Regions from separate parts of the Mus musculus genome. Here all the other regions are reported to be linked to region 7. The links are microRNA targets in miRTarBase. Many come from high-throughput screens and were not tested one by one. Region 7 holds a microRNA gene; each other region holds the end of a gene's coding sequence.

Evidence for each region. Region 7 holds the annotated microRNA mmu-miR-495-3p (AAACAAACAUGGUGCACUUCUU, at 1,518-1,539, opposite strand). A microRNA usually pairs through its seed, bases 2 to 8, with sites in the 3' UTR of a target mRNA and lowers its output. Matches are read on the target gene's strand: a 7mer-m8 pairs with bases 2 to 8, a 7mer-A1 pairs with bases 2 to 7 and ends in A, and an 8mer does both.
Region 1: miRTarBase lists Bend4 as a target of mmu-miR-495-3p. Seed matches in the 3' UTR shown: 7mer-m8 at 2,044-2,050, 7mer-m8 at 2,048-2,054, 7mer-m8 at 2,052-2,058 and 7mer-m8 at 2,056-2,062.
Region 2: the mRNA of Elavl1 is a reported target of mmu-miR-495-3p. Seed matches in the 3' UTR shown: 7mer-A1 at 553-559 and 7mer-m8 at 1,656-1,662.
Region 3: miRTarBase lists Gpr12 as a target of mmu-miR-495-3p. Seed matches in the 3' UTR shown: 7mer-m8 at 2,467-2,473, 7mer-m8 at 2,463-2,469, 7mer-m8 at 2,451-2,457 and 7mer-m8 at 2,447-2,453.
Region 4: the mRNA of Nlgn2 is a reported target of mmu-miR-495-3p. Seed matches in the 3' UTR shown: 7mer-m8 at 2,210-2,216, 7mer-m8 at 2,135-2,141, 7mer-m8 at 2,131-2,137, 7mer-m8 at 2,127-2,133 and 7mer-m8 at 2,123-2,129.
Region 5: the mRNA of Preb is a reported target of mmu-miR-495-3p. The part of its 3' UTR that is shown has no 7-base or 8-base seed match.
Region 6: the mRNA of Adamts5 is a reported target of mmu-miR-495-3p. Seed matches in the 3' UTR shown: 7mer-m8 at 1,727-1,733, 7mer-m8 at 2,388-2,394, 7mer-m8 at 2,392-2,398, 7mer-m8 at 2,396-2,402, 7mer-m8 at 2,400-2,406 and 7mer-m8 at 2,404-2,410.

Annotation. Positions count from the first base shown.
Region 1 is chr5:67,395,689-67,398,769 of GRCm38, reverse strand. Bend4 (BEN domain containing 4) reads left to right here. Exons shown (of 5, transcript NM_001164806.1): 5 at 320-3,081. The coding sequence ends at 534. Among named protein-coding and RNA genes, the nearest start is that of Gm33345, 8.2 kb to the left of the region's middle.
Region 2 is chr8:4,286,971-4,290,051 of GRCm38, reverse strand. It overlaps Elavl1 (ELAV (embryonic lethal, abnormal vision)-like 1 (Hu antigen R)), which reads left to right. Exons shown (of 6, transcript NM_010485.3): 6 at 128-3,081. The coding sequence ends at 452. Among named protein-coding and RNA genes, the nearest start is that of Timm44, 13 kb to the right of the region's middle.
Region 3 is chr5:146,580,401-146,583,470 of GRCm38, forward strand. It overlaps Gpr12 (G-protein coupled receptor 12), which reads right to left. Exons shown (of 2, transcript NM_001359056.1): 2 at 1,750-3,070. The coding sequence ends at 2,706. Among named protein-coding and RNA genes, the nearest start is that of Gpr12, 3.3 kb to the right of the region's middle.
Region 4 is chr11:69,822,650-69,825,717 of GRCm38, forward strand. Nlgn2 (neuroligin 2) reads right to left here. Exons shown (of 8, transcript NM_001364137.1): 8 at 474-3,068. The coding sequence ends at 2,554. Among named protein-coding and RNA genes, the nearest start is that of Spem1, 2.0 kb to the left of the region's middle.
Region 5 is chr5:30,952,847-30,955,927 of GRCm38, reverse strand. It overlaps Preb (prolactin regulatory element binding), which reads left to right. Exons shown (of 9, transcript NM_016703.3): 9 at 191-3,081. The coding sequence ends at 285. It also overlaps the pseudogene Abhd1. Among named protein-coding and RNA genes, the nearest start is that of Preb, 5.9 kb to the left of the region's middle.
Region 6 is chr16:85,860,166-85,863,246 of GRCm38, reverse strand. Adamts5 (a disintegrin-like and metallopeptidase (reprolysin type) with thrombospondin type 1 motif, 5 (aggrecanase-2)) reads left to right here. Exons shown (of 8, transcript NM_011782.2): 8 at 70-3,081. The coding sequence ends at 637. Among named protein-coding and RNA genes, the nearest start is that of Gm46558, 38 kb to the left of the region's middle.
Region 7 is chr12:109,717,253-109,720,333 of GRCm38, reverse strand. It overlaps Mir495 (microRNA 495), which reads right to left and starts at 1,580; the gene lies at 1,518-1,580. Mir543 (microRNA 543) reads right to left here and starts at 3,076; the gene lies at 3,001-3,076. Mir667 (microRNA 667) reads right to left here and starts at 328; the gene lies at 237-328.

The sequences.
Region 1 (3,081 bases), not on the chromosome of region 7:
CAGTTAGTAGAATGCAAGCTTGAGGGTCTGAGTTCAGATGACCCATATAAAAAGCTGGGTAAAGACACTTGGGGCAGACACTTTCTTTTCAGCAGCAAATATTCCCTAGAGAGTGTAGATAATAGCTTTGGCCTTGCTGACGAGAACACTGGCGTGGGGTAGGTTGGATGGAGTGAGTGGTGCGGTCATTGCATTGCTGGGGACCTTCATGTGACTCCGCTGATAGTTGCCTCTGGTGTAGGCTAAGCTGCCTTCGTATCATCTGTCCAAAAACCAGCTGTTTTCTCTCTCGTCTTTACTGTTGTTTCTGTTCCCACAGAATTCATTAGGATGCACTGTACCTCAAACCCTGATTGGTGGATGCCCTCGGAGGAGCAGATAAACAAAGTGTTCAGCGATGCTGTAGGTCATGCCCGACAGGGGCGGGCCGTGGGGACTTTCCTGCACAACGGTGGCTCGTTTTATGAAGGGATGGATCACCAGGCTTCCCAGGATGAGGTCTTCAGCAAGACACAGGACGGATCTGGGGACTAGTGGACACAATCGTCCCAGTGCTGTGTGGTTTCTTGTGTAAGAGCTCCAGTTGTGAATGTCCATTCCCATGTCACTTAGAGTCCAAAGCATGTAATTCCGTCACACTTTACACATTCTCGGACTTAAAACTCTTGACCCACTGCCACAGTTCCCAAACAGGAATCCACTTTAGGATTTTCGGGGGGGAAATCTCTAGCACCTGCAGTAGATTTGGGGTGTGTTATATCACAGAGGAAAATGTACATTTGGCATGAAGTCATTTCTAGCTAGGCATTGAGGGTGTCTCCAGTCCCAGATCTTCAGGGAAGCCTGGCCCCCTGAGCAGAGCTGGTCTCCAGGGAAGGCTCAGTTAGTGTTCCTGCACATGGGCGAAGGGAAGACGAGCAACTGTAACAAGTAAGCTGTCTTCGATTTCCTAAGACTTCATTTCAGAGTTCCCAGCAAAGACACAAGCTAGGTGACACTGTAAGCCTCCATCCGTTTTAAACGCTGACGGGAAGAATCCAGAACAGAGGCCATGTCTATAGAGAGCGCGTAGGTGTGGACGTCGGCTACTTTTTCTGTTACCTTACAGACAGAACTCACTGTGTCCATCAGAAGGGCAACCTCCTCGCTGTGGTTGACAAGCAGGAGATTCTCTTTATATCTTTAGGAAACATCCAAAGATTGAAAACCATTTTCCAATGCCTCGTTTCATAAGTTCCTAACGCACAGCTTCCGTAGCCTTAAGTCATACTTCGTTGACACAGTGCCGGGGTGGTGGGTTCAGCGAGAACTCCCACAAGCTGGCTGTTGAGTAAGATCAAACGCAGGGCATGAACGACGGCATCTGCTGTTGATCAGGGGTCTGGTATTGTAGACGTGGAGCGTCAAGGCCGTTCTGACAACTATGCAATGGCTGGTGGGTGATTTCTCTGAAATTTGAGGCCTTTGCTGGGCTGAGTGAAGGTTTAGCATATATAAAACTTCTGTTTCCCATTGTCATGGATGAAAACGCCCCATCCAGCTGTGCACATCCTCCTCGGTCTAAGCTCTGAGTTACCCTTCTGCTTCCCTGCTTAATTTGTGGAATCCGTATGTGAGGTTAGTGATGCCCTGGGAACCACTTCCTAGTAAAGGCTACAGAGGTGCTATAATTGTTACTGATGGAGATTACGCTTTGGACCTGCGGAGAACACTGGCTTTATTAAACAAATCAAGATTACTATGTTCTTTGTGGAACCAAAAGCTAAATGGGCAGCGTTTGTGAAAATTATGAGTGTCATCTACAAACACAGCAAAGAGCTTTGAAAATGGGGTAGAAATTCAGACTGTGAGTATCCGTTTAGAAAGGACTTTTGGGGAGGCCAGTTTTGTCAGAATAATCACGCATCCTTTAGATTCAATATTTAGCAAATATTGAACAAATCAGCTGAACAGTTTAGAAGTAAAAGAAATTAAATGGGTAAATGAGCTGTCATTTACAGTGGACCCAAGACCAGTGTCTTTGGCTGTCCAAGAGAAAGGGTTGTTTGTTTGTTTGTTTGTTTTTTCCTAACTATAAAAACTGTCTCCGGATAACATCCAGGATAGCATTAATGTTGATAGCTTCTTGCTGGTCTGGGGCACTCACTATCATCTTGTTAAAATCCTCATCTGTAGCACCGAAGACTTCTCATACTGCTGTTTATCTGCTCTGCTGAGTCCCGTTCCTCTCTTTGGTGGTTTATTTAGTCAGTAAGCTTGGACAAGCTTCCCTTGGTTGTCTTGTAGTCTTTAAATGATCCATCGAGTTTTCTCTTCCACGAGTTTGCAACTTTTACATTAAGTTTGGGAAGTTAGCAGGAGCTAGCCTCAGGGCCTTAGAGCCTTAGCATAAGGAATCAGACAGTCCCCATGGAGAGGCCTGAGTTCCTCCTCCACCTCTTTAAAGGCTCTGATCTCAACACCAACTCTGGGTAGCATCATGCCCTGGGACAAGCCTTTGTCAATGCAGCTTCTAATTGTCATCTCTGCATAGGCGGACATTAGCTTTAGTTGACTAAGAGCCTGTATCACCTTCACTATCAAATGTAGCTTTAAGGAAGGGGGTATCTAAATCATTTGTGGGTACACCTACACCAAGGGTTCTTGCCACTTGCTTCAGATGTGCAGAGGGCACCCGCTGCTTCCTGTACTGTATTGCAAGGTCTGGATGATAATAATAAGAAGTGCAGTGGACTACTGATGAGCTGTTGTCAATTACATCTGGAGCATTCGTTCAATATGATGTTGAAAGGGGTGTTTCTTGTGTGTGATCCAAGGTCTGGGAAGTCTGGCCTAGGAAATCTCCAGTGTCGGGAACCTAGCTGTTGTGCATATGTGGAAACTAAGGACTACAATGCTGACCTCCGCCGTAGCAGTTCTCACATGTAATTACATGAGGGCCTAGAATTAGCCTAGTCAAGTGTCCCTTTTTTCTGCCTGCTTATGTGATTGCTGTTTTCTTCAGCTTAGTTTACCACCTGATACCAGCAGTCAAACACTTAGGATTGTTTCAGCCTTCTGCTGGCTCTTTCCCTGTGTGGG
Region 2 (3,081 bases), not on the chromosome of region 7:
GGTGCTGGCTGCATGAGAGGCCCAAGTGTCCTTACATCTTGGCCCTCTCCATCCTACTTCTTACCCCATTGTGCAGGTACACTGCTGGCCTTAACCTTGACCTGAACATGTGCTCTCTGTTTGCTAGGTTCTCCCCTATGGGTGTAGATCACATGAGTGGGATTTCTGGTGTCAATGTCCCCGGCAATGCTTCCTCGGGCTGGTGCATCTTCATCTACAACCTTGGGCAAGACGCCGATGAGGGGATCCTCTGGCAGATGTTTGGCCCCTTTGGTGCAGTTACCAATGTGAAAGTGATTCGTGATTTCAACACCAACAAGTGCAAAGGGTTTGGTTTTGTGACCATGACAAACTATGAAGAAGCTGCAATGGCCATAGCAAGTCTGAACGGCTACCGCCTGGGGGACAAAATTTTACAGGTTTCCTTCAAAACCAACAAGTCCCACAAATAACTCGCTCATGCTTTTTTTTTCTTTCCTTCTTTTTTTTTTCCTTTTCTTTTTTCTTTTTTTGTACGGAATAGATAATTAAGAGTGAAGAAGTTGAAACTTTTTTGTTAGTGTACAACTCATTTTGCGCCAATTTTCACAAGTGTTTGTCTTAGTCTAAATGAGAAGTGCAAAGGTTTTTATACTCTGGGATGCAACCGACATGTTCAAATGCTTGAAATCCCACAAATGTTAGACCAATTTTAAGTTTCTTAAGTTATTTCCTTTAAAGTATATATTAAAGTGAAACCGAAGTAGACTGCGCTGACTAACCAGTCACTCTGGACGGTGGTGGGACTGAAGCATGCTTTTACTTCTAAGACTGTCTAACACCTGTTTCATCTGATGTCTCCACAGACTGGATTTAAAACAAAACAAAAAAAATTTTTTTTTAATTTCTTTGTTTTAGTTTTTAACCTAAAGATGTTAGACAGATGGGGAGTGTGTTTTTTCTCAACTGCTTCACTATTTTAAACAATTTCTGCTTTAGGTGACAGGAAATTTGCCCTCCCCAGCAGTCCCACTGCTGCCCCCTGCCCACTCAGTCCCAGCTCTATAGTGTTGGGAGCAGCAGCAGGGCCCATATTCTGGGGCTCCCACAAGGGGAGATGGGAAGAGGTTCCACATGTTGGGCTGAGCCAGGCCCTCCAGAGACACAAAAGGTGTTTTGTAAGCCCAGGCACCAATGAGAACGGACCAAAGAGTTTCAGGGCAGCTCCAGTATATTCCAGAGTCAAACCTGAGCTCCAGGCATGCCTGAAGATGCCCCACTCCTCTGACATCCTGAGCGTCTGTCCACACATTGCATGCATGGTGCCCACACATCAGATACTGTTGTTCATGCAACTTCCCGAGTTTCCAAGACCATTTAACCTAGCTTGAATGCACAACGATTGCTCTGTTTTTAATGACACAGAAACATTTGAGCATTGTATTTTCTCGCATCCCTTCTTGTGAGCACTAGACTTTTTCCAATCTTAGTCAGATTTTGCTTTGAAATTTTGCTTTTGTATGGACACTCAGCAGAAAAGTACTTCTTGCCAGTTATCTATTAACAAAATCCTTTGATTTGTAGTTTTAAGGATTAACCCTCAAAGTTCTCTTCATAACTGCCTTGACGTTTGGGGTTCTGTTCTGTTAATTTTCTTTTGCTTTTTTGTGTTTTTTGTTTGTTTTTACTTTTGCATTTAAGACCATTAAATTTGATTTTGTTTTGCTCGAGTTTTGTTTTGTTTTTTGTTTTACCTTTTCTTTCTTTTTTGGCTAGGGAAGGGCACAGACAGCCCAGCATTCAGGGAGGAGTCTGTCAGACCTTAAACACTTGCCTCAAGTTTAAAAAACATTTCTGGAGCTATGGTATAAGAAATACAGCTATGGATCAATGGTTCTTAACTCAGGAGCTGGTAGGAAAGGTCAAAGGGAAGGGAAGAGCACATGAGGCCTGACCCCTACAGCCCTCAGGACTGTTCTGATGTTTATTAGTATGTGGAGAGAATGAGAACAGGCTAGTGCAGTTACTGGCAGCTCTTCACTTTGATGTAAGCCTGGAGTGTATAACAGCAGGCTAGTATTTAGTTCTTGATATCATGGTATGATAGCATTATTTACACATATCTGTTTAGTTATATATACATATATATATACATATAGCTATTTTGTTTCATTTACTTAAGTGGAAAACTGAGCAAAAAGCACAGCCATCTCTAAAGTAGGTCAGTGTATCAAGAAGCCCATGTACAAATTGAGGCTGCCTGTTCCCTCCCCCGCCTCCTTTTCCTGACTTCCCTGGAGGCTCGTTGCAGTGTTCTCTACCATTGGTGAGGTTGTCTCATGTACTCAGGCTTTGTCCCACCCTAAGTGAGTCAAGTGCTGCTCAGTACCTCATTCCATCCCATAATTCCCAGCCTATAGGGCCTGAAACCCAGAACCAAAGGCTCATATGCCCAGATCTGACCAAAAAAGGAGAGGGGTCCTCTGCTTTGAGGGTGCAGAGTGCACCTCCCCGTGGGACCAAAATGTTGTGATAAAATACGCATTTCTAGTTTCTTAGCCAGCATTCTTCTGAGTGGAGGTGGGATTCTCCTCAGTCGTGTAGCCTTTGTATTCCACACCTGAAAGAGACTGTGTCTTTAAAGGACCTGGTGCTCAGAGCTAGCACCTTAATCACTATACCATCCCTACCACCCAACACCTGTTTACTCCATAGTAACTCTGAGAGGAACTGGGGGAAATGTCACCAGCTTCTGGAGGTCACTTCAAGTTCGACATTTTCTTTCTGTGTGGTCTCCACTGTCTGGGTAGCACTCTAGATAAAAGTCCCAGTGCATTCCTTGATGAGCTTTCTTTGTCAGTGTCTAGAAGAAAGTAGCTTTGAAAAGGCATTCCTGAAAGCAGTTTTCATTCTATGAAAGGACTAGGTCCTGGCCCTGGACGCGTTCATGACAGCTAGTCAGGCTGGGCAGAAATACAGAACCCAGACGTGTGTGTAGCTCAGAGATTAAAGCACTTGCCCAGCATGAGGGCAGCCCTGAGCTCTGTCCCCAGCATTGGAGGAAAAGTCACAACCCAAGAGAAAGGGGTTTTTTTTGTTTTG
Region 3 (3,070 bases), not on the chromosome of region 7:
AATGACAGAACCCAGATTATGTGACAGCGACCTGTTCAAAGGCAGCTTTCTTTGTGGAGTAAGGGATCAAAGACAACATTATGGAGGGGCAGGGAAGGGAGAATGGAAAGCCTGCCTTCAGTTCTAGCCTCACCCTACAGCTCTCTCAGAGGCCTCAGCCTGCTTCTTCACCTCTCTCTGAGCTCCGGTTTTCTCACCACAAATGTGTGTTTTCACAGTTGCATTTAAAAAAGAAAGAAAGGAAAGCTAGTAAAACAGCAAGTTCAGGGTTGAGAGCACACGTGGGCCAGGCAAAACTGACTGCACTCCTGTGTCCCCTAGCAGAGATGTGCAAAGGAGAGCTCCCATCCCATAAAGCGCCATCTGTTGCTTTAAGGACCCATTATGAGAGTTTCCTGCTCAAGTCTAAGCTAAATGACTGGGGCTGGAGAGATGGCTCAGTGGTTAAGAGCACTGACTGCTGTTGTGGAAGACCCAGGTTCTATTCCCAACATCCACATGGCAGCTCACAACCAGCTGTAACTGCAGCTCCAGGCCATTTGGATACCTGTGGCCTCTCATGACACCTGCACACATATGTACATCTATGTGAGTTGTAAGTAAAATGAATACATAAATAAGATATTTAAATTAATGAATAAAAAGACTCAACCTATTCTTTCTTACCACGCCCATATTGTATTCAAAATAAATGTTTTAAAGCTGTTGGCTGGATTGGGGTTGATCATACAGGGCTGAAAATCCTTTCCTACTTCTTCAGTATTTCAATCCCTCTCATGCAGCCATGAGCAGCCTCAGAGAAGAGATACAGATTCAAGTATAAGATGCTTTCTCACTTGAGCCACTTGAGAAGCAACTTTGGAGGAATGGGTTTGGCAGGCAGGCTTTGAAGACTGGTCCTGAAATCATCATGGCCAGGGGCTGGTGAGATGGCTCAGCGGTTAAGAGCTCTGATTGTTCTTCCAGAGGTCCTGAGTTCAAATCCCAGCAACCACATGGTGGCTCACAACCATCTGTAATGAGATCTGATGTCCTCTTCTGGGGCTGTCTGAAGACAGCTACAGTGTACTTAGATATAATAATAAATAAATCTTTGGGCCAGAGCGAGCAGAGGTCCTCAGTTCAATTCCCAGCAACTATATGAAAGCTCACAACCATCTGTACAGCTACAGTGTACTCATATACATAAAATAATATCTATAAAATACATAAAATACTGATTGGGACAAGCCTTTGAGGGGAACCTATTACAAATGACCCCTCACCAAGGATCCTGAAATACTGGTCTTGATGTGCCATTCAGGAATTCTTCCACTTCCTGTATAGACACAGCCATGAGCCCATTGCAAACTGAGGGACAGTGTATCTTACATCTGTCTGCTTTCACAGAAAATGACACTTGGACATAATTACTCTGTATGGTGTTTTAAGTCACGTCTTGTAGTAATTTCCCAGGTAAACCTTTGCTTTCTGAAAGCAGGCAGCAGAGTCCTTGTTGCATGGAGGATGTCTTCTGGTAAAAGGAAATTAAACTTTTCACCATCAGACATATGGTCATTCCTGCATGAGCACACAGGACACAGCTGGTACACCCCAGTCATGTTAGCTGGGCGTGCCTCAGACCTAGTTGTTAAGGTAGGAGACCACCTGCTTCAGATGCAATTTGCCCTACCAACAGAATGAGAAAATTTTCCATTTATAATACTTAATTCTACTCATCTTAAGTAAGAATAACAATGTATCCATAGATAGAGATTTGAAAAGTCATGTTTGTATATTTCTTAATAGTATCACACCATTTATTCTCTCAGAATATATTAAAAATAAATAAAATCTTCTTTCAATAGATGCTGTTAATATTTTCTCTTTTGTTTTCTGAAAACCACCAGTCTAGAGTTTTAAAAATCACAATGACAAATCTAACCAGTGCTATCTCATATGTAATTGGAAACATTTTTTTCATGACTCACTTTGGAAAGGATATTTCAAAAACTGTATTGAAGAAAAAATGACTCTTTTAATTCTGGGTTTAACATGGCAATATTGCAATTAGTGATCTGACTACCACAGGTAACCATGCATACCAAACTGTAACACAGAGAAACTGCAAAGTGATTCTTAAGAGCAGTCACTACTGCTGAAAGGAAAGAAAGGAGTTCGCGCCTCTGTTACTGGTCACTTATTACTGAATTCCTAGAAATAAACACAAGCCCTTCCAAATGTAATTATATAAACTATTTTGGTTATATGGCAAAGCTCCTATCCTGTTAGATACATACAGAATGGAAGATCTACCTTGATTAAAAAAAAAAAAGTATTTCCTTCAGAAAAAGTATTTCCTTCTCCAGTTTCCTTTAAAACTTTGATTTATTTTCAAGCCTAGGTTAAAAAATCCCGAGACTTTTGTATAATTTCATGGCCACATGAGGTCCCATTACACCCTCCAAACAAACAAACAAGCAAACAAACAAACAAATCCTAACTCCCAAACCAAACAACAGAATGCTGAGCCGAGAAGTCGAGTTTTGTTTTGTTTTTTTTTTAAAAAACACTGGTAAGATGATTTCCACTGTCAATACGTGTCTAAAAGATGTCATTGCTTCTGCTTGTGAGATCCAGTGCAAAGAATTTAAGGAAGGAAATCACTGGCCGCCCTGGGAGGTGGGAGCGCTTGGTAGAGGCAGCGTCCTATGAGGAGAAGGCTGCTACACATCGCTGGGAGACCGAGCTCTCTGAGACAGCGAGGAAGGGATGCACCCACAGCAAATGAGGCAGAGGGCTTTCTGGATCTCTTGGTTTCTGAAAGCGTAAATGACAGGGTTGATGATGGAATTGTAGGTGGCGGGCAGGAGGGTGGCATAGGTATAGATCGAAGGGTAGGTGTAATCGGCGATCAAGGAATAGAGGGTGAAAGGCATCCAGCAGGCAGCAAAGGTCCCTAGGATGAGAGCCAGGGTCGAGACCCCTTTCCGGGTAGTCACATAGTGCGATGTAGCCAGGAAGTGGTGCTGCAGGGCTATCTGATGGGCGTGCCTCATCACAATCTTACAAATCTGGATGTAGAGCTGAA
Region 4 (3,068 bases), not on the chromosome of region 7:
TATCCCTGGCTGTCCTGGAACTCACTTTGTAGACCAGGCTGGCCTCAAACTCAAGAGATCAGCCTGCCTCTGCCTCCCGTGTGCTGGGATTAAAGGCATGTGCCAACACTGCCCAGCCAGCACTTTTATTTTAAAGATGGGATCTCGTATTTAGCTCAGGCTGGTCTTGAGTTCCTGCCCCACCCCACCCCCCGCAGTGGCCTGAATGCTATGATTATAAGTGTTTCTGACTATTTGTCCATCCTGGTCTCTATGTTAACCATCCAATCCCATCCTGGTCTCTATCTTAACCATCCAATCCCGTCAGGATGGAGACTTTTCCCTTTGCCATTTCTCCTCAGATCTTAAGAGTTATTTTCTGAAAAGGGTTGGGCACTTCTTCCCACCCCCTTCTAACAAGACAGGTACAACCAGAGCTGGGTACCCTCTCCACCCTCCACCTACCTTCTAACACGACAGGAGACAACACAACCAACAGTTAAACTTTTATATTTACAATATTCTCTTCATCTTTTGCCAGGTTTAAAAATGTGTACAGAGCCGCAAAGGGTTGGGGTGGGGGCATGGGATTATTTGGAAAGGGGCCGGGCATTGGAGTCCGTGGCTGTATCGTGGGGTCCCCCAGCCCCTCTCTCACACCCCAGCTCTGGGGCATCTGCTTACAGGGCTCAGGGCCCAGGTTGATAGCTTTTGGAAGGCATGGCTGTTCCAAGAGTTGCTAGACCAGGCAGGGGAAAGGGCCAGAAAAGAACTACATTTCCATGGGGGATGGAGAAAGGACAGGGGCTCAAGACCAAGGATTCTGGACCTGGGTGTCAGTGGAAGACAGCACCCCACTCCTATACAAGTTTGGCACTAACATCCCTCAGAAAGCCAAACAATACATGAAGATTCAGCCACACCTCCACTGGTGTCCCTTAAAACCCTTCCTGACAGCGTTCTTTTCCCCAAGAGGTCCAAATCCAAAGACCTCTAGGCAGCTGCTCCCCATATTTCCTTTCAAAATCTTCCTGCTGGTGTCTGCCCTGTCCCCCACAGCCCCTCCATCTGCTCCTTGGTACGGCTGACCTCATTCTCTTCCCCAGCCTGTCCATGTAACCTTTTTCCCTGACTCCTCCCTTCCCCCTCTCCTCAGCTTTCTTTCTTCTTCTTCAACTCAACCAACCAGGGAGGGGAGACAGGTTAAAGAAGGTAAAGAGAGAAGGCTGGTCTGACCCTGAGATGGGGAGAGAGCATCAAAGAAGGAGCCAGTGATGGAGAAAGAGGAACCAAGGCAGAGAAGGAGAAATGACATGGGGGTGAGACACAAGTGGGAGGGTTGCGGGGGACCACCTTAGCTGCCACCTGCTCCTGGCGTTTCCCTTCCCTGGACTAGAACGTAGGGGATCCTTGGCACATTTTGAGAGTCTCCCAACCCATCTACCCAGTTTGGCACGGATGAGCAATGATCTCAAGGACTGAGGAAAAGGCTGTCCTCAGGCCCCCTTGAGGGCTTAGGTTAAACATGCATGGCCTCTTGTGTGACATGTGCCATGCCCCCCATCCTCCCACCTCGGCGTCTCCCTCCAAGTCTCTACTTCCCACGTGGCTTCTGTCCATTAGAAGTCTGCTCCCACCTGCTATGCAAGGAGGAAGTGTGCGCTGGACCTGAGGTGTGGGAGAGGGCAGGGGAGTGCTGGGGGGCGCAGGACCCTCTGCCTGGGAAACACACATCCACATGCAAGAACATGTTTCCATTCGATGAAATGCGTCCTGGGCCGTGGGAAGGTAAGTTTCCAGGCAGCGCTGGGATGCACAGAGATTCCCCCTTTCCTCTAGCAGGAAATCTCTGTTGTCTGTGGAAGGTGAGGGCTTCCAGGGAGCACGGGCTTCACCTGCCTTGTGCCATGGGGGAGAAACATGCTATTCAGGGGTGGGTGGGGAGCGGGGTCCAGGGGGCCTGTGATTTCCTAGCTGCTCCCCAGGTACCTCCCTGTATTGTCTGGTGGCCAAGGGTCACCGGATGTGCACACATCACTTCCAGGGTCTCCAGGGAGTTGGACGGGGAGGAGAAGACGAAGGCATGGGATACAAATCCCCGCAGAAATTCTTGGAGGAGGCAAACATGTGTCCAGGGCGGCAAAACAAACAAACAAACAAACAACCCCCCCCCCCGAATAAAACAAAAACAAAAAAAAACCCAACCAACCAACCAAAAACAAAAAAACCAAACAAACCTCACCCTGCACATGGGAAAACACCCCCCCCCCCTGAGGAAAGCATGTCTTCACATGGGCAAAAGGACTTCCACATTTCCACACACCGAAGACTGGTGTCCCAACGGAGGGCAAAAAATACCCCCCAGGTGTTCGAAGGCCCAGGTCCAGAGGAGATAATGGGGCTCTCTGCATGGGAAAAACTCTCTTCCCAGTGAGGAATCCCATGTCCACCTTAACACTGCTCCACGAAGTCTGACAAATCCACGGGGGCAAAGCCCGGTGCCAAGTCCTCCTCCCTGCCTTCAAGTGGCCTGGGCTGGGAGGGCTAGGGAGGCAGACCTCCCAAAGCCGCCCCCTATACCCGAGTGGTGGAGTGGGGATGGGGTAGCGTGTTGTTGTGGCTGGTAGCAGTAGGGGGTGGGGGTGGGAAGGGCCCAAAGGGATGGAGAGAAGGGGGTGGGGGCGGGGGCGGGGGCCCCAGGCCACTAGGCAGCAGGGTTAGGGCCCCGGGGGCCAAGAGAGGCACATCGTCCGGTGCCCGGCGCAAGGCCAGGGTATAGTCGGGTGGACAGGCAGGGCGCAGGGCCTCAGCAGGGTCCGCCCCAACACCACCACCCCGCTTCAGCTGCAGCGATACTAGCTCCTCCTCCGGGGGTAGCTCACGGCCAGCAGTGGGAAGCAGGGGGCCCCCACCAGGCACACCTGAGCCTGAGCCTCCTGGTGGGCTAAGCCTCCGGCACCGCAGCTCCTGGCGCCGGTCCCGCTTGTAATAGAGGGCGGCAAAGGCAAGGATGTTGAGGAAGAGGAGGGAGGCACCCACTGCCACAGTCACGCTTAGCTCCGTGGAGTAGTCCCTCGAGTCACCGGGGA
Region 5 (3,081 bases), not on the chromosome of region 7:
GAGTCATTGTTGTGTGTGTGTGTGTTGGCAGGGAGGGTACCACTTTAGCTATAGCAAAAATTGGCCCCTGGAAAATGGACTGTTTTTATCCATCTACCTGCCCCTCCTTGAATGAAAGAGGTTAAAGGTTCTGGTTTTCAAGTTCCAAAGCATCTTTGCCCACTCATTTCTTCCCTTGCCCTACCCACAGGGAGTGTTCCTGTATGGCTTCTGCTCCTGCTGTGTGTCGGCCTTATTATTGTGACCATCCTGCTGCTCCAGACTGCCTTCCCGGGATTTCTCTAACCTCTAGAGCGATGGGAATCAGCCTTGGACAGTGCCGCCTTCCAGAGCAGAATCACTGAGCCCCACGGCTGAAGCTGCATCTGATGAAACTGATGGGTACTGCTTGTCCCTCAGCTCACACTTGGCGGTGGCCTCTCGATCACTCTGGGTCTTGGGAGCTCTTGCCTTCACCTGTGGATCCACTTAAGACATTGTGGTCTGAAGCTCAGGCCACAGTGCCTGCCTCGTTCCCTCAGCCTCCCTCCCAGGGCTCCAGAGCTCAGCTCTTCCTTTTCTAGAAGCATGTGAAGATGCCCAAGAGCCTGGAGACATTGCCATCCTTCCTACAGAAACTGTTTCTCCTCCTCCCCTCCAGCCTTCACACAAGGGCCTTGGCTTTGTTGAGACAGAGCCTGTGCTGGCACTTGCTGTTAGGGTAGGAAGAGGCACAAAGAGGACCCCGGTAGCGGTGATCTGTGGCCTTCTGTGGGTAGCACCAAGCCAGTCAGTCCAGACACATAGTGAGTTCCTGGAGGGTCTACTGCAGCCTGAGGAAAGGGAACCTCAGCTCGTTAGGCAGGAAGAGTTGATATTTAATAAAGAGAGAACAATTGAACCGAGAGCCCAGCAGTCCTCTTGTCAGCTCTTTCCATCTTCAGGAGTGAGTACTCCCAGGTCAGGTAGCCCCACTGAGTGCTGGAAGATGGCTCGGGCATACTGATGTAGTACGCGGTTCATGTAACAGTGTTGCCAGGGCATCAGCCCTTCCAGGAAGCCAATGTGGCCACCCCGAGCTGTGATGAGCAGGGCCACATAGGGAGACTTCTGGGCAGCCTGCAGAGGGAAGGCTAGAAGGGAGTCAGGAGGTCAGAAAGCTGTCCGGGAATGAGAACCCAGGCTCATACCTCAACCCTCATCTATGGCTCAGTAGCTGTGGGATCAGGACCTCGTTGCAGGCACTCACCATGGACTGGGGAGAAGGGGTCATCTGCTGCATTGAGGCAGAGAACAGGGGTGTGGATGGCATCTACCTTGGTTCTTGGGCTTGCGGCTTGGTAATAAGCCGCACAGTCTTTATACCCAAAAGCCACAGATGTGTAGCGCTCATCCAGCTGGCGGATCGTGCGGGCCTGTGTGGTAGAGGCATGGTAGGCTATAATATTAGAACGTAGGAGACCAACACTGGGGTGAGAGGGTGATCGAAAGATACCTTTATCGCAAAGTCTACATCCAACACCTTTTCAATTGGCTTTCGGTTCCTGGAAAAGAATACATCAGGGTTTGTCTGAACTCCTGCACCTAACCCAGAGCTCACAGCTTCTGTCTTCTTACCTCCTCAAGAAAGCCCAGATTGGAATGGACCCAAGCACTGGCAGAGCCTGCCATCTGCTATCCTACCTGGCCACAAGCCGGCAGAGTCCAGCAGTGAGTGGCTGATTGAAGAGCAGTGAGTTGAGTGGGGTCTCCAAGGAGTCAACGGTCTCAAAGGAATCCCAACATGCAGACAATGGTCAGTCCTGCGACCAAGCCTCCAGCCTTCCCAGTCTGTGCCAGATAGTTAAGCACCAGTATCCTGTAAAATTGGATGCAGGGCCATGGAAAGTGTTGGCATGGGAACACTGGGACAGAAGAGGAGAAAAAGACAAGATGAACAAACCCAGGCAACTATTACCCTCCAAAAGAGATGCCCACAGCCAGCAGTGGAGCTTGGGAGTAGCGACGTTTTATGTGCTTCACAACTGTTTCTAGGTCTTCAGTATTGCTGGCACAGTAAGCCCTGTGAGTCTGAGGGCAAAGCGGGTCATTGACTAGGGAGGGAGGCTCTTGCCAGAAGACAGCCAAGCGGAAGGGCTCAGGAAGGGTAGGGGGTTGGTAAGTAGGTAGAGCCCTAGGGCCAGTGGTCTCTAAAGGGAACAGGGACAGGGCCACCACAAAGGAGGAGGGTACTCACCAGCAGCTCTTCCCCTCGGCATCCTCGGTTATTAAATACAACAGCCCTGGGGCAAGATAGGAGTGTGAGCCAAGCCCTCCCAAGAAGACCCTCCCCTTGATAGTCTTCAGAAAGGCCCCTGTCAGAGAGTACCATATCAGGGTCAGATGTACTTTTGCCCTTCCCAAGTTCTGTACCCTGTCCTTACCTATAGCCATCCTTCAGAGCTTGGTTAACTAGGTGTAAGATGTACGGCTCCTGGCTACTGCCGCTGATGCCTGGAAGCAGCAGTACTATGGGCTGGGTGGTAGGGTCCGGGTAGTGAGTGCTGTTAGGCTGCTCGGCCCAGTCTAGAAGGAACTGGCCTCCATCTGGGGTCTGGAGGACTTCACTGGGGTTTAGAGATTGCAACACAAAGATGTTATTAGGAGTTGCACTTCTGCATGTCAAAGCTCTACCCTCTGACTCGCCCACAAGCTCTGCTGTTTGTCATGGGTATCACTTGAAGGCACGCTTCATATAAAACAGCAAGGTGACCAGCTAGATTGGACTATTAACCTTGTGTGGGTGCAAGTAGAGAGCCTTTCCATACATATAGGCTCATGCTTTGGGACAAAGATTACCGTCATATAAAGAGGTGGACCATAGAGACTTGCAGCTTTGTGTTCCTGGTCCTGACCCTTCTTACCTCCGGTAAGGGACCACAGGCTGAGACTGCAGGAGGACTCGGAAGATGGTTTGCAGCCGTCCCTCAAAGCACCACAGTGTCGGGTAGAAAGTCTCCACAGTGACTGGACAGTGTTGTTCCAGGAAGGCCAGAAACTGGGGCCCAGCCACCAGACGAGGCCTCTATAATCATACAACACATTGGCCTCTTTTGTTGTCCT
Region 6 (3,081 bases), not on the chromosome of region 7:
CCATATGCTAATTCTATCTCACTGCCCCCTTCTTTTTCCAACCTTTCACCTGGACACCCTGGCCTACAGCAAGGGTTATACTGACGTTGTGAGGATCCCTGAAGGAGCAACCCACATAAAAGTCCGACAGTTCAAAGCCAAAGACCAGACTAGATTCACTGCCTACTTAGCCCTGAAGAAGAAAACTGGCGAGTACCTTATCAATGGCAAGTACATGATTTCCACTTCAGAGACCATCATCGACATCAATGGTACCGTCATGAACTACAGTGGATGGAGCCACAGAGATGATTTTTTACATGGGATGGGCTATTCAGCCACAAAAGAAATCCTGATCGTGCAGATCCTTGCCACAGACCCAACTAAAGCGCTAGACGTCCGTTACAGCTTTTTTGTTCCCAAGAAGACCACTCAAAAAGTAAACTCTGTCATCAGCCATGGCAGCAACAAGGTGGGACCACACTCTACACAGCTGCAGTGGGTGACAGGTCCATGGCTGGCCTGCTCCAGGACCTGTGACACAGGCTGGCACACTAGGACCGTGCAGTGCCAGGATGGAAACAGGAAATTAGCTAAAGGATGCCTTCTCTCTCAGAGGCCTTCTGCATTTAAGCAATGTCTGCTGAAGAAATGTTAGCCTGTGGTTTACTCTAATGCACAAAAAAACAACAGGAGGATCATCGCAGATACAGCTGTGGTGAAGACAAGGCCTACCCAAAGCACAGAAAGTCATGCCTTCATGTCATTGTCACCACGAGTCGAATTATGGGCAGAATCTGCTCTCTGCGACCAAAAGGTTTACTCTACTTGGTGTAATGATGGTGACCTTGGAATAAAGAAAACGTGAGGGTCATGGAACATCCCTGGGCCTACACAAAGGAGACACACAATGATGAATGTAGAATCGGGGACATTTGAAGATGGCAGAGAAGTCTTGTCACCTACCTCTTATAGAATGTCTTCAAAGACATCGTGATCATGTTCAGCCATGACACACAGCTTATTTTTACTGTTTGTAAATGCATCCGCCCTTAGTATGTCACTTTATAAACTTGGTCCTATTAATATATACACATGTGTAAATACAATATATATATTTGACCAAAGTAGGTCTGCAGCTATTTCAACTACTATTTTCCAGAAAGAGCTGAAGAAGATTTACTGGAAATTAAGAACTTGCTGCTGTTAAATAAAACTTTGTATATTGTCAGCCTGCAGGAGATAACATTTTAGTCAAAAAAAAAAAAAAAAGAAAAAAAAGAAAAAGAAAAGAAAAAGAAAGAAACCATTTTGACAGCAAGCACCTTCTGTGAAGTTCTAAAAAGGGAAAGGATCTGCGTGTGTCTGGTCATTTAAACACATATTCAGTTCTGTGTACTCTAGAGTTTGACGGTCTGTATATTTTTCAGGCAGCCAAGCCAAGTTATTGTATCATTTGGGTGTAGAAACTGTGTTTTCCTGTGTATATGTGATCAATATCCAAGGGTCTAAAAGTTAGCTTGCTTGTATTGGAATTTAAAACAACAACAACAAAAAGAAATATGTCACTGTGTTTTCAATTTGTATTTTCACAACTGCTTCCTTTTCTATGGCTCCTGGTTCATATCTCACAGTGTGTAGGGATCATAGAGAACACGCAGAGCCGCAAGCTGTCTGTCACATCCAGCTTCCGCAGTAATGGCTCACCTCTGCTCAGCCAGGGTTTAAAATGTGTTTGTGGTTGCTTGTTTGTTTTTCCTGAGGGTGGGAAGATGTATGTTCTGTATTGGCTGGGTCTAACAGTAATATTAAAATCATTTCGTATTTAGCCTCATCTTGAACGAGCAATCGGATCAGTTCAACTAATTCAAGAAACCAAACTAGTTAGCACTTAAAAGACTGTTTCCACACCATAGGCAATTATCTCATAATTTACAAAATATAAGCATATGTCTGCTGTATTAGAGAATTTCTGCTCTCAGAAGGCGTTTGTCTCTACCAGTGAGTATGTAAGTGATGGAATATAAGTGGTTTCAGGAAGTCTTTTACCTGCACAAGAAGGTCGCACACGCTTAATGATAATCATAATCTCCTTTAACTACTCACTGAAAGGCCCCCCTCCGATAATTCAAATAATATGACGTGGTTTTATTCCACTGGCATTTCTTTTTTCTTCGTAAAAATCTGCAAAGTAAATTGTTTTACACAAATTCTATAGTGACCATACCAAATGTGCCTACTGTGAAAGATTTGCATAGAAGGATTTTGAGAAATCCTCTCTGGAATTCCACTAAATGTATGAGAGTTTATTTTTATTATAGGATATTTTAATATAAATAACTATGTAATTGATGACTCCATATCACATTGATTTCAGTGGGACAGAAAAAGAATGCAATCCTACTTAGGTTTGTTTGTTTGTTTGTTTGTTTTAAGAGATTATTTTGTGAAACAGACCAATGCCCTCCCAAACCAGTCATCATCCATTGGCTTCTCACAGCCTGGTCTTTTTACATCAAGAAATGCAGACTATACAGAACTTGTAGCCTATATTGGGTGCAGGTCTCCAAATATAGAGCAGGGAGTTCATTTAGTCAAATTGGTCATAAGACAAAAAATTAAATCTCACGTTGCTTATTTAACTGTACAGAGAGAATAAATAGTATAATGCAACTTTCTCCAATTTCTAAAAACAATATAAGCCAAGTAGTTCCAATTTGACAAAATTCTTATTTTGTTTTTTGTTGTGGTTATATTAAAAAAAATAAATGAAGAGTAAATGTGATTATCTCCTACTCTGCTTCCCTCTATGATCATCATAGTTTTTTTTAATAATATTTTCACTGGGTTACTTTCCCTATAATAATCGAGTTTTATACTTCACACTGAAATCATCCTAAGGAGGGTAAACGGATAAACCACTAATCTATGTCTAGAGGGATTTTCTTTATGTTTTAAAAAGACTATTCCTACATTGACAGGGGAATGTATATAAATCTCCTGAGGAAAGAAACACAGCAAACTGAGAGTCAGAAATCTGAAGTGTCACAGAGGGAAAGAGAAATTGAGTGTGGGAGGAGAAACCGATATTAAATTCCAATT
Region 7 (3,081 bases):
ATTGTGCCCAGAGAATATTCTACCCTCAAAGATGGAAGGCTCCCTCTGGGCCTATACGTACCTGGGATGTAGGGGTGAATAGCAGCCCTTAGAAGCCTGCCAATAAAGCACAAAGCTAAATGTGAAATGGAACTGAACAAGTCCGGTTACCTTGGGATGACCACCAGAGGCATTTCTGTCCAGGTGTCCTTTGCATTCCTTGGATGAATCCAAGACAAACTCCCCTCCAGAAGTTTGTGGGCCTAGGGGCCTTGGGCTGGGTGGCAGGTGTCACAGATATAATGTATGGCGTGCTCACTGCTCCACCAGCACCGAGGCCAGTACCCACTAGATGGAAAGGGATTTTCAACCTAAGAAAATGGGTTGACCATGCTTGTTCCATGCCCCTTAGCCTTTCTCCATGGGTATAAAGGGAGAGTTGCTGCTTTTCCAAAGGTGTTTCCATCTTTTATAGGCAGAAGCCAAAACACAGGTACAGCCACAGCCCAAGGGCATCACTGAGCCAGTAGAAACTAAGAGCTAAGTGTGTGGCTAATCCTGGTACCTCTTAGATGGAGTTTGCACTGGGTTTTGATGCGCTATGGTTGTTGAGCCACGTAAGTATAAACAAAGCTTTTATTCCAACTTGAGCAAAGAAAGAAATAGCTAGTATCCTAGCAAAGGGTTGCCTAAGAGTGATCCCATATCTTGTACTGGCTCAGCTTCGGAAACCCTCCAGGGGAGATGGATGGATGAGGTGTTCTCATACTCTCTGGATTGTATCCTCCCTCCCACTCTCACAAGAGAGCCACCAAAGGGCCCTGCTCAAACAACCACACTCAAAGGCAATTTTGATGCCATGAGGAGGCTACCAGAGAATGTTAGCCATAAAGAGAAGTTCACTAGGGAAAAGGGGTCTGAAGTGCCGCCTTACATCTACCACTCCAGAGGGCAGGGGTACCAGTATCAGAGATAAGAGACAGGCAGCAGTGGCTGATGACAGCTTGCTGTTCCCTGGTCCCAATCGTAGCCAGCACCCACCAGTCCTCAAGGCCTTGCTAATGGCATCAAAGAGCACAGCCCGTAGACATGGCAGGATGCTGGTAAAGAGCTGATCTGGGGCCCAGGCTTTTCTAGAGTCATAGTGTTATGTGACACTCACCAACTGACATATCTTGGTAAAGACACCTGCAGCTGACATCTAGACACATGTCTCCAGAAGGAATTGGTGGTTTGGCTTGTATTGGCTGTTTGATTAAATTGCTATTGTTTGGATTTTATAATTTTCTGGGCTTCTCTTATCTGAACTCCATCCTACAACAGAGCCTAAAAGTGCGCTTCCTGGTTTCCCTTACTGACTGTGCCTGTCCCAGGAGGTGGGCATTCTGGACCTAACAATGCACAGAGCCAAGAGGGGCAGGTGAAATTGTGCTTCTTTGAGGTAAATGCCCCTGTGCACATGGTGACCCAAACCCCCTGGCCTCCCGTCCTCCCTCTGGTCCATGGGGAGCTCTCCAAGGTGAGATTTGATATCGAAAAAGAAGTGCACCATGTTTGTTTCGTCACAAATAAAAGCGAAAAATAACATGGGCAACTTCTTTTCAGGTACCACGGCTGAGCTCTTGCTTGTTCCAGCAGTGTGCCTGAGTGTGAAGGGATGCTGAGGGACAGGCGGAAGGAAGGGATGGTGGGTGAGGCAGATACTTGGCCGGGAGGGGGACAGGGATGGGGGTCCTGAGGCAAGGGGAGTGGCTCAGTACTCATCACTGCCATAGCAATCCAGCCCAAACCCCCTCTACCTCAGGATCTCAGGAAGACCTGGGACGAAGACTGAAGATTCTGAGATGTTGCCTACCATCCTTGCCAGTCATTCTGAAGTGTCACTCGGGGGAAATGGGATGGTGCCAAACTCCAAGACAGAATCTCCTCTCTCAGTTCCAGGATCCTCTTCTGAAGCTGAGAAAAAAAAAAAAAGTCAAAGAACTAGGTGGCAAAATCCAGGGCAGCCTAAACCAGCTGTGTGAGTGCCTGGATGATGCCCTCTGAGGTCCCCCCTCTCCCGCACCCAGAAGTGACTTACGATGTAGACAAATACAACAAAGAGCTCACAGGGTACTGGGAAGCAGAAGAACAGGTTGAAATGGGAGGCTCCAGGATTCTGAGCGTGTGAGATGTCTGGGGATGCAATGTCCGTTCATCATCTTGCGGCTGTCCTGAACGGGACATATGACCGACCCTTCCCTGAAAACAAAACGCATTGATTAGTGTGTGTTACCGTTACTGGAAGGTTACAACACTACAGCAATATATCTGAACCACAAAGGAAAGTGACTTGGTACCAACTACCTACCTTAGACTGGACAATGGGAATAATGAGCAAGAGAACATACCATCCAAAGAATGCCAGTTACACTCATTGACAGGCCACTCAACAAGGAGCCATCCATTCCTCTCATAGTAAGGAAAGGCCCACCTCAAGCTGACTTACACACAAAGGAGGCATCCAGGCTAATATAACTTAAAGGTACAGTGACGTGTTGAGCTTCAAGGAGTGTCGGATGCAGGTCCCAGATTGTACTGTTACTCAAATGTCCCATGGTTCCTCTGGGACAGGCACTTCCCCCTCTGTCTAAACAGCCCTGGGTACTGTCCTCTTGAATTCTAGCTGGCCTTCAAACTCAGGGAACAGTGAGATCCACTCAGACATCTCTCACAGAAATGAAGACTCATTCCCCTCCCAGAAGTCTCAGCAAACATCTCCCTGTGGGCTAAGGTCTCATCTAGGAATCAATAATGTCTGGTCAACTGGTTCCTTTGACACTGTGTTGTGGAGGAGGGAGGAGGGAGCAGGAGCCAACCAACCCAAACCCATTCTCATTAAGAAAGGTCAGAGGACCATTCAAGAAGGGAGATAAACTCACACAACCCAGGCTCACTACATAGACTACTTTCCTAGACTAACATGGCTTCCCTGAAGTCAGTAAGTAGTTGAACCCCCGAAGTCTTCAACGTAGAATAGGATGCTGAAAAAGAAGTGCACCGCGAATGTTTCGTCACATATAAAGCGAAAAACACGCGGGCAACTTCTCATTAAGCACCGTA